2 linked regions of the Bombyx mori genome follow. The main gene of each other region encodes a partner of the protein of the gene in region 2 in a complex. Links are inferred from orthologs where the notes say so. Each region holds a gene or a part of one and is shown on either strand. Other genes may lie near its edges.

What was found. Proteins that work in one complex are often made in the same cells at the same time.
Region 1: the proteins of NEDD8-activating enzyme E1 catalytic subunit (region 2) and NEDD8-activating enzyme E1 regulatory subunit are in contact, whole or in part, in a crystal structure (PDB 3DBR), measured with the Homo sapiens proteins. The link is inferred for Bombyx mori from reciprocal best matches to the Homo sapiens genes UBA3 and NAE1. Residues at the interface, in NP_003959.3 of Homo sapiens: Trp34, Glu35, Gly36, Arg37, Trp38, Asn39, His40, Lys43, Phe44, Glu46, Arg47, Ser48, Gly49, Pro50, Phe51, Thr52, Phe56, Glu83, Lys86, Asn87, Leu90, Ser91, Val106, Ser107, Leu109, Asn110, Arg111, Phe113, Leu114, Arg116; in NP_003896.1 of Homo sapiens: Glu10, Gln11, Lys12, Tyr13, Asp14, Arg15, Gln16, Leu17, Arg18, Leu19, Trp20, Asp22, Glu44, Lys47, Asn48, Leu51, Pro52, Gly67, Glu68, Ala70, Gly71, Asn72, Asn73, Phe74, Phe75, Gln77, Arg78, Ile81, Phe92, Glu95.

What each region holds. Positions count from the first base shown.
Region 1 is NC_085124.1:7,692,894-7,696,813, forward strand, and holds NEDD8-activating enzyme E1 regulatory subunit, read right to left. Parts: upstream 2,506-3,920; 5' UTR 2,285-2,505; coding exon 677-2,284; 3' UTR 506-676; downstream 1-505. Other genes in the region: N-alpha-acetyltransferase 30, read left to right, coding at 1-86; transmembrane protein 185B, read left to right, coding at 3,430-3,479, 3,566-3,742. UniProt on the Homo sapiens protein: Regulatory subunit of the dimeric UBA3-NAE1 E1 enzyme. E1 activates NEDD8 by first adenylating its C-terminal glycine residue with ATP, thereafter linking this residue to the side chain of the catalytic cysteine, yielding a NEDD8-UBA3 thioester and free AMP.
Region 2 is NC_085115.1:7,048,254-7,052,263, forward strand, and holds the start of NEDD8-activating enzyme E1 catalytic subunit, read left to right. Parts: upstream 1-1,200; 5' UTR 1,201-1,344; intron 1,345-1,431; exon of another isoform or gene 1,432-1,993; intron 1,994-2,221; 5' UTR 2,222-2,226; coding exon 2,227-2,561; intron 2,562-3,774; coding exon 3,775-3,935; intron 3,936-4,010. Other genes in the region: uncharacterized protein LOC101738796, read right to left, coding at 1-116. UniProt on the Homo sapiens protein: Catalytic subunit of the dimeric UBA3-NAE1 E1 enzyme. E1 activates NEDD8 by first adenylating its C-terminal glycine residue with ATP, thereafter linking this residue to the side chain of the catalytic cysteine, yielding a NEDD8-UBA3 thioester and free AMP.

The sequences.
Region 1 (3,920 bases), on a different chromosome or scaffold from region 2:
ACTTGGGTTTCGTAAGGGATAAACGCCTATTTCGATATTATCTTAATGGTGTTGATGCATTGCGGTTGAAGTTGTGGCTAAGGTGAAATAAGTAGCTAACCGATGAGATTTCTCAATTTTGTGTTTAAATAACTTGCAATATGCAGTATTGAGTATATACATAAAATACTACTGTTTATATTCTTATCTATTGTGCAACATATTGCCATCTATGTGGATCTAGCCAAATGTAGTGTTTATTTCTCATTTTAATTCAAAATCATGTGATACATTGTATGTAATTTATTATAATTTTTTTTCTCAAATACTGTTTAATGATAAAATCTATTGTAACAAAAATAATGAAAACAATCGAAAATTTAAAAACACAAATTGAAAAATTTTTTTAGTCTCTAATTTTGTTTATGATTTCCCTCTATTGATGTTATTTTTTTCAAGTTTAAAGATGAATCTTAGATTTCTAAAAAATTCTGTAATAAAACAGATCGATTCAAAACACAATTAAAAAGTTTTAAATGATGTCTTTTTTATCTATACCTTATCAACAAGCTTAAAAAACATAGGTACTCCAATTTGAAAATGTATTTTTTTTGGACTGGGATAGGTAGTAAAACCAATAGAATATTTATTGGTTTTATTTGCTAGTAATAAAATGGTATCCAGCAGCTATAAGAATTTAGAATTCAAATGTTGCCGTATTTGTAGAAGCTCCATCATAAATAAATGTATTATTTACAGGTTTATATTGCTTGGTTATAATTTTAATGGCTTCATGTGCAACACATCCACCTAAAAAGGCAGACACACTATGTATCTCGGCTCCCCCATAGCGACACATTTCGTGGATATGATCATCTTTAGGAAATGGAGAACAAGATATATCACCTAAAAGTTTATTTACACAAGTTTTTAGCTTAGCAATGTCACCTTCTGGTTCCCAATCACCGGGAGCTCGGCAGTGCTCTGATCTAAACATACCAGCTGCCCGAAGCATAATATAGTGAACCATCATGACATCTGGCTCCTCTAAATATGTGGCTATATAGGATGCAACAGAATTTCCCAGTTGAAGTTCTGTTGCCACACAAGACCCCTTCACCAAATATAAATCATGAGCATGTCTGCAGAATAGTTTAACATCTGCCTCACTAATACTATCACAATGCAATTGAGTGACTATCTGTCGAACTTTTCTATAGACTATTTCTGCATCATTTGCAGCTTGCATCTTGTAAATGTTTTGAAGTTTTACATAATGTTCTGTAGAGGCCGTCATATCAGGTAAGATTCCTTTCACTGGAAGTTTTCCCTTCCCTTCAGCCTCAACAAATGCTCTTAAGGCAGAGCACATAATCCAAAATGATGAACTATCCTTAGTTAAATTTGTGGCAGCACTATTATACATAAGTTTTGAGATATTCTTAGGCAAAAATGTAGGCATCAAAGCAGTGTTAACAGCTCTTATTGCTTCCTCAAAATTCTCTTCATTAATTGGTATTCCATTTTCATCTTTTCTAATGAAATCCCTTATTATATTTTTTATATCTTCTTTATCATTTCGCGTTACAGGCCATTTATTGTTATTGTTAATTTTCCACTTTTGAACAGCTTTATAAAGAATTATAATCCAAGGAATGTGACCATGATCTTTCAAATCAAGAGCATCAATATCAATACTTTCCAGATGTTCTAACAATGACATAAATGGTTCATCTAGGCGCAGATCTGTTTGTTCATTATCAGGATGAGTTTCAGTAACAGCATGTTCCCGAATCTGAATTCTTAAAGACCCTAAGAATCCAACTGATTGGCAAAGTATAAAAGGAACATTTATATCCCACAGGTGTTGAGATAAACTTTGCGTTACTTTTTCACTTATTGTAGTAGCTATCACTAAACTGAATGATTTAAAAAAGTCTGGGTTCTCATCAAGTATCTGGTCAGGTGGTTCTTGGACTGCATGACCTTGTACTGCTGGATTTAATTCTAAAACAAGCCTTAACGCTTCGGATCCTCTGTTAAGACCTTTGCTAGACATTTCCAAAAAGAAATTACTGCCTATATCTTCATCACTAACTGTGCAATCATCAACTATAGTAATTGCACCAATTCCTGGAAGAACTATCGATTTCAATATTTCAGTACCCAAGGCAGTAGCATTAATTAAACATATGTGTCCGCTTTCAAGAGCACTTTGTCCGTGATCACCCCACAAACGAAGTTGCCGGTCGTACTGTTTATTCTTCTCGCTTTGTTCTGGTGATTTAGGAGATGGAGACGCCATAATATAAAACGTCAATAAGCAAAAGGTTTACTTTTGAGATTAAAACCGATTTTTATTATTATGAAATTTATAAATGCAGTGATCAGTTACACAAAACCTAGTCGAAATTGGCTGAATTTGAACGTTAGTTTTGCATAATTTTGGTACATTTCATGGTTGGTTACTGACATGACGAAATGTCAATTGGGCTAGAATAAGTAAAAGTCGTTTGTATAATGCAAGAAAGAAAGAGGTATCATACCATACAGCCTTATCTTACACATCTTACACAGTCACATTAGAGCCGAAGTCGTATGATGTGTGATTATCTGAAATTGAGTAAAGTGAAATGACTTAGGTACTAAATTGTTCCACCTATAAGACAAACTTGATGATATAATAAATTGATAAAATTATCTCACTTGCTAGTTTCTATAATGGCTTCCCAACAAAATTAGGTAGCTTTTTTTGCGGCATATTTTGTAGATTCTACCTTGAAATGAATTTAAAATATGCATATAGTTATAATATCTTAATTTTTACCATTTTCACTTTTTTTCTTTTTTTATTGCCTTTGTAGGCAGACGAGCATACAGCCCACCTGATGATAAGTGGTCACCGTCACTCATGGACGTCAGCAATGCCAGGGGCAAAGCCAAGCCACTGCCTACAAACTTTCCAGTTAGACGTCGAATTTTAGGACACCTTGTTTATTATTTTGGTTTTAATTACTTTCATTATTCTGCCATATTGTACTTGAGCCACGACGACTTCTAACTCTCAATTTTCTTTTTTTTTTTATTCGTTTTACAGTCACATTTCGTCAAAACAGTCATAATAACCATATTAGTCGCCCTTTAGTTACGAACATATTATGTATATTATATATTATTAAGTCTTATGGCTATGACTTTGGACTACGAAATAGTTTGATGTATGGCTTTGTTCTCTTTGCATGTCTCGGGAACGAAAAAAAAATCTTTTAGTTTGATTATGTGTGTTGACAAAAGCTTCAAATTGCAAACGTCAAAACTTCAAGAAGCAAAATTGAAATTAATTCCATTTAATAAAACAAAAGTGTTGTTATTGGATAAAGAAAATTAGGATTTAAACCTTTCGAACCTTGTTTCTTTATGAAATGTTTATAATTATTATAAGCTATACGAATGTGTTTTGAAATGAATTTACAGACATTATTTCAAGACTTTAACCCCAGGTAGTTTTTATGTTGCTCACATAATTAATCGAGTCAAAGTGAAGGTGATTTTCGTTCTATGTTAATTGCACAATTGTTTGTTACAGCAAATTCGTCATTCACACTTGTCTTCTAATATTTACTGCATTATTAGCGCTGAAGTTAGATAAAACCATAACATGGTCATATTGGGCAGTATTTACTCCAATATGGATTTGGAAATTTCTTGTCGTGCTCGGGGCCACTATTGGGACTTATGTGTGGTGGCAGTATCCTCACTTCAGGTAACACTAAATTTCATCCATAAATTTGAAAAAACGCTAAATTAATCAAGGTAAATCAAAGTTTGTCACAAACTTAATCAAGCTAGTTAAGATGATTGTTGACTTTAATGTAATGTATTAAACATATTTGTGCATAGATAAGTACAACCATCCTGTTAATAGTATACTTTTCATTCTC
Region 2 (4,010 bases):
AGTAAGGCATAGTCTGGGAGTTCATTTTCTTCATTGGTTTGTCCATTGCCTCTATTGTTTGATTTGCTTTTATCTTCTTTTCCCTTTGATTTTGTATTCACTTTGTTACCAGCCATGTTACACCTAACAATTACAATTTAATGACTTTATCACAAGACATTTACAAAGGTAAGTTTGATTTGATAGCAACATAAATATGAACTGTTATAAAATACTGTAGGTACCAACAGTATATTTCGTGTGATACTGATCAGTTTTACGGAAATCACCAATGTGATATTTATTTCAATTATGCACTGAACTCACTGAATTTAAAATGATATGTTTGACAACAGATATTTTTCCTTCATCTTTATATCCGCATGGTTATATTGCAAGCAACACTCGACTTCAAAATGTTCGCAGTCTCTCCCTCAATTTTAGAGGATATTTCGCGGTTTGTGGTCACAAATCTTATTCCAATAAATATTCTAAATACTGCAGATACCGAAACCAGTGCTGAAAGGTTTCAACTTACCCTAAAAACCTCACTACCGCTAACTTGAAAATTGAAGACCTGCGACAAATTCACATCCATCACGCCTCCATTTTCAACAAATGAATGGCACCAATAGAACGTAATCAGGTTTGAATGATTCGACTATAGAATGTAAATTTTTGAACGTAGATTTATTTTTACATAGGTAATTACCTAACTAGTTTGGAGTTTTCATGAGAGAATAAAATTGATCAACATGCTTTTTTTTTAAATATTTTTGTTGATTGGTTTTGTGTCTATTTTCTTTGATTAGCTGATATTAATGTCTCTAGTTGCTCTTTGCAGACAGAGTATGCAATTTATTGGTATTCAGAATTGAGCGTATACCGCTTGAAATAACTAATTTATGGCTTTCGAAGATTGGTAATAGTTTATTTGGATGTGTATAGGTATATCCGATATAACAAGGAAGTTAACTACATACTAATTAAAACCCATTATTTTAAATGCATAAAATCGTGAATCCCGTGTGTATGTGTATTAAATTATGTTTAAAAGTATTTTAAGCCCTAATTCTGGAATCTAGTATATTTGCATTTTCTTTTACTTTATTAATAAAAGTAAAGTTTAATACCTCTATTGAATACCAACATATTACCTAACCATTTGAATTTGTTGGAGTGGACTGATCTTTTACCACAAAAACAGTGCTACCATAAGTAGACAGTACGCGTGAGCTTCGAGGTCCCTATACCCTTCTCTATTTAGTATGAGAAAAAAAGCGCTTGTCACCGGCCATCTAAATATTATATCTGCATAAATCCAAATTTGATCACGTTATTATAGTTCAGTGATTTATCTTGGAGGTAAAGAATATTAATCTATTTAAAAACTCCTTTGAGTTTGGATGTCAACATTTGGGTATTTAAAAAGTCAGTAGTAATACTTAATTCTGATTCATGATTCATTCATTACACTGTGATTTACTCGCGATAGTTATTTTCAGTGACTCGCAATAGTCGATGTGACATATGTTCATCGACTAAATTATAGGCACGATGCCTTTCGCCTTAAGTTGCGATTTATAAATGAAGGAATACTTCCGCAGTAACTTTTTCTTTATTACGTTTTAAAATTTTAATCGTTTTTTTTTATGTTTCGATATTTGACGAGAAGCTTCATGGATTAAAATCTATTTACCGGCCCAATTGGCCAAATCAATTAAATTATTAGTGTTTTCAATGAACTTTAAACCTTCAACACATGTAGCACAGATATGTATTAACTGGCGAAATACTATTACTACTATTACTTATTGTACTACATGGTATACTCTTTGGTCTATGAAAATAAGGCGATTAGGATTTATAAATATTTAACCGCAAAGTTAAAAAAATTAACAGAAAAAGTACACCTACCTACCTACTACATACATACCTCTTCTAGGTAGGTATCATACTTATTGCCATAATTATATTTATTTATTGCACTAAAACTTATTGGAAATAGAAATAGGTACGTACATAATTATAGTATTTTGAAAGAATACTAAATCATTAATTACAAATCTATATAAAAATAATAAAATGAAAGTAATAAATACATCTCTTATTGCTAATTATTGAATATTCGTTTTGATTAGCTGCATATTACTGAAGTACACACAAGTGTGGTTTAAAAGAATAATATCTCAGTTCTTTCAATGTGTATGTATTTAAATAGTGTAATGTATTTATTTTTCAGTCATAATGACTTCAGAATCTCAAACGGCTGATTATCAAAATAGGAGATGGCAACATATAAGGAAGCTGCTGGAAAGATCTGGTCCTTTCTGCCATCCAGATTTTGAAGCTTCAGCAGAAATTCTAAATTTCATCATGAACTGTTGTAAAGTTCTCATTGTTGGGGCAGGTGGTCTTGGTTGTGAATTATTGAAAGATTTAGCCTTAATGGGCTTCAAAAAGTTACATATTGTAGATATGGATACAATAGAACTATCAAATTTAAACCGGCAATTTTTGTTCAGAAGAAATGATATTGGCCTACCTAAAGCTAAATGTGCTGTGGAATTTGTCAATAAAAGGTAAAAATGTAATTGTGATGAGTAGAGTTAGTGTTTAATTGAATGTTATCAATGTACAGTAATTATTATTTACATTATTAAATAAATACATAAAGTTACACACTTGCAAATAGTAGGGGTCCCTGAAGTAATTATCTATTATCCCATTATGATAATTGTTACGTTTTCTATATGAACGTTCATCATTTTGTGAAATCTTGATAAAAAGGATGAATAATGGGGGAAGTCTATACACGATGTAGGAGGCGATGGATGTATGAATTCAAAAGTAAGGATTCCCTGACAGGAAGTAGATTTTCAACATTTTCCGAAATAAGTGGTTACATAAACTAGACTGAAGTGCATCCAAAGTAGTGAAAACAGTGTTAGTACTTTTATTCCCATGTCATAAATCTTACCTTTGATTTTAATATTCTGAAACACGTAAATTTTATTATATTGCTCTTGATAGTGTTACATTTAAATTGTTGATTGATTGATGTTGATTGTTGTTGCTTCCCGAAGCAAGGCCAGGGCGGGTCGCTAGTCTATACTAGAACTGTAATTTATTATTGATTATCAAAATAAGTTGGCAGATTTCTTTCCTACTTACTTGACACTTATCATTATATTTTTGTAATTCACACTATATCTTTATAAATTATTATAGTCAATGTCAACTATATTATTGTAAAGTTTCATCAAAATCCATCAAGTAGTTTTTCGGTGGAAGAGTAACAAACATACATTCTTACAAACTTTCCGTTTGTAATATTAGTAGGATCTGTGTTATATATTTTTATTAACATCTCCAGTAAAGCATTGATGATGGCACAAACATTATACAATATTTATCTCCTAAGCAAACCAAGTTTGTGGTTTCAATTCCTATTTGGCATTTTTGAACATGCATTTTTAAGCTAAGACAGACACCCCCAGCCACACCACACTGTGGGCACTGTGCTTCAGCTGGTTTTTTTTCCATTATTGAGACAATTTATCTGGTATTTGATATCATTTAAAATGAAATTAAATATATTTGCCAATATATTTTTTTCTTAAATTGTAATCATCATACACTTCTTCTTCTTCTTCTTCTCAGTCATGTCACTCTTGACAGAGTGGTCGTGATCGTCATGTAGTGTTACTCTTATTTTACTTAAAATGACAGTTGTTGTAATTTTTGTTGAATAAATTTTGTTGTTTTGAACTTTGGTATTTCTTTTCATTACAGAGTTCCTGGGTGTGAAGCTGTAGCTCACCACTGTGCCATTCAGGACCTTGATGAAGATTTTTATAGACAATTTCACATTGTTGTTTGTGGGCTTGACTCAATTATTGCTCGGAGATGGCTTAATGGAATGCTGGTATCCTTGTTGCAGTACAATGATGACAGTAATAGTTTATTTTCTTAAAGTTCTTGGTAGTAGCTAGTGTTTTATTTACTGGCAGAGTGTGTATCTTGAGCCT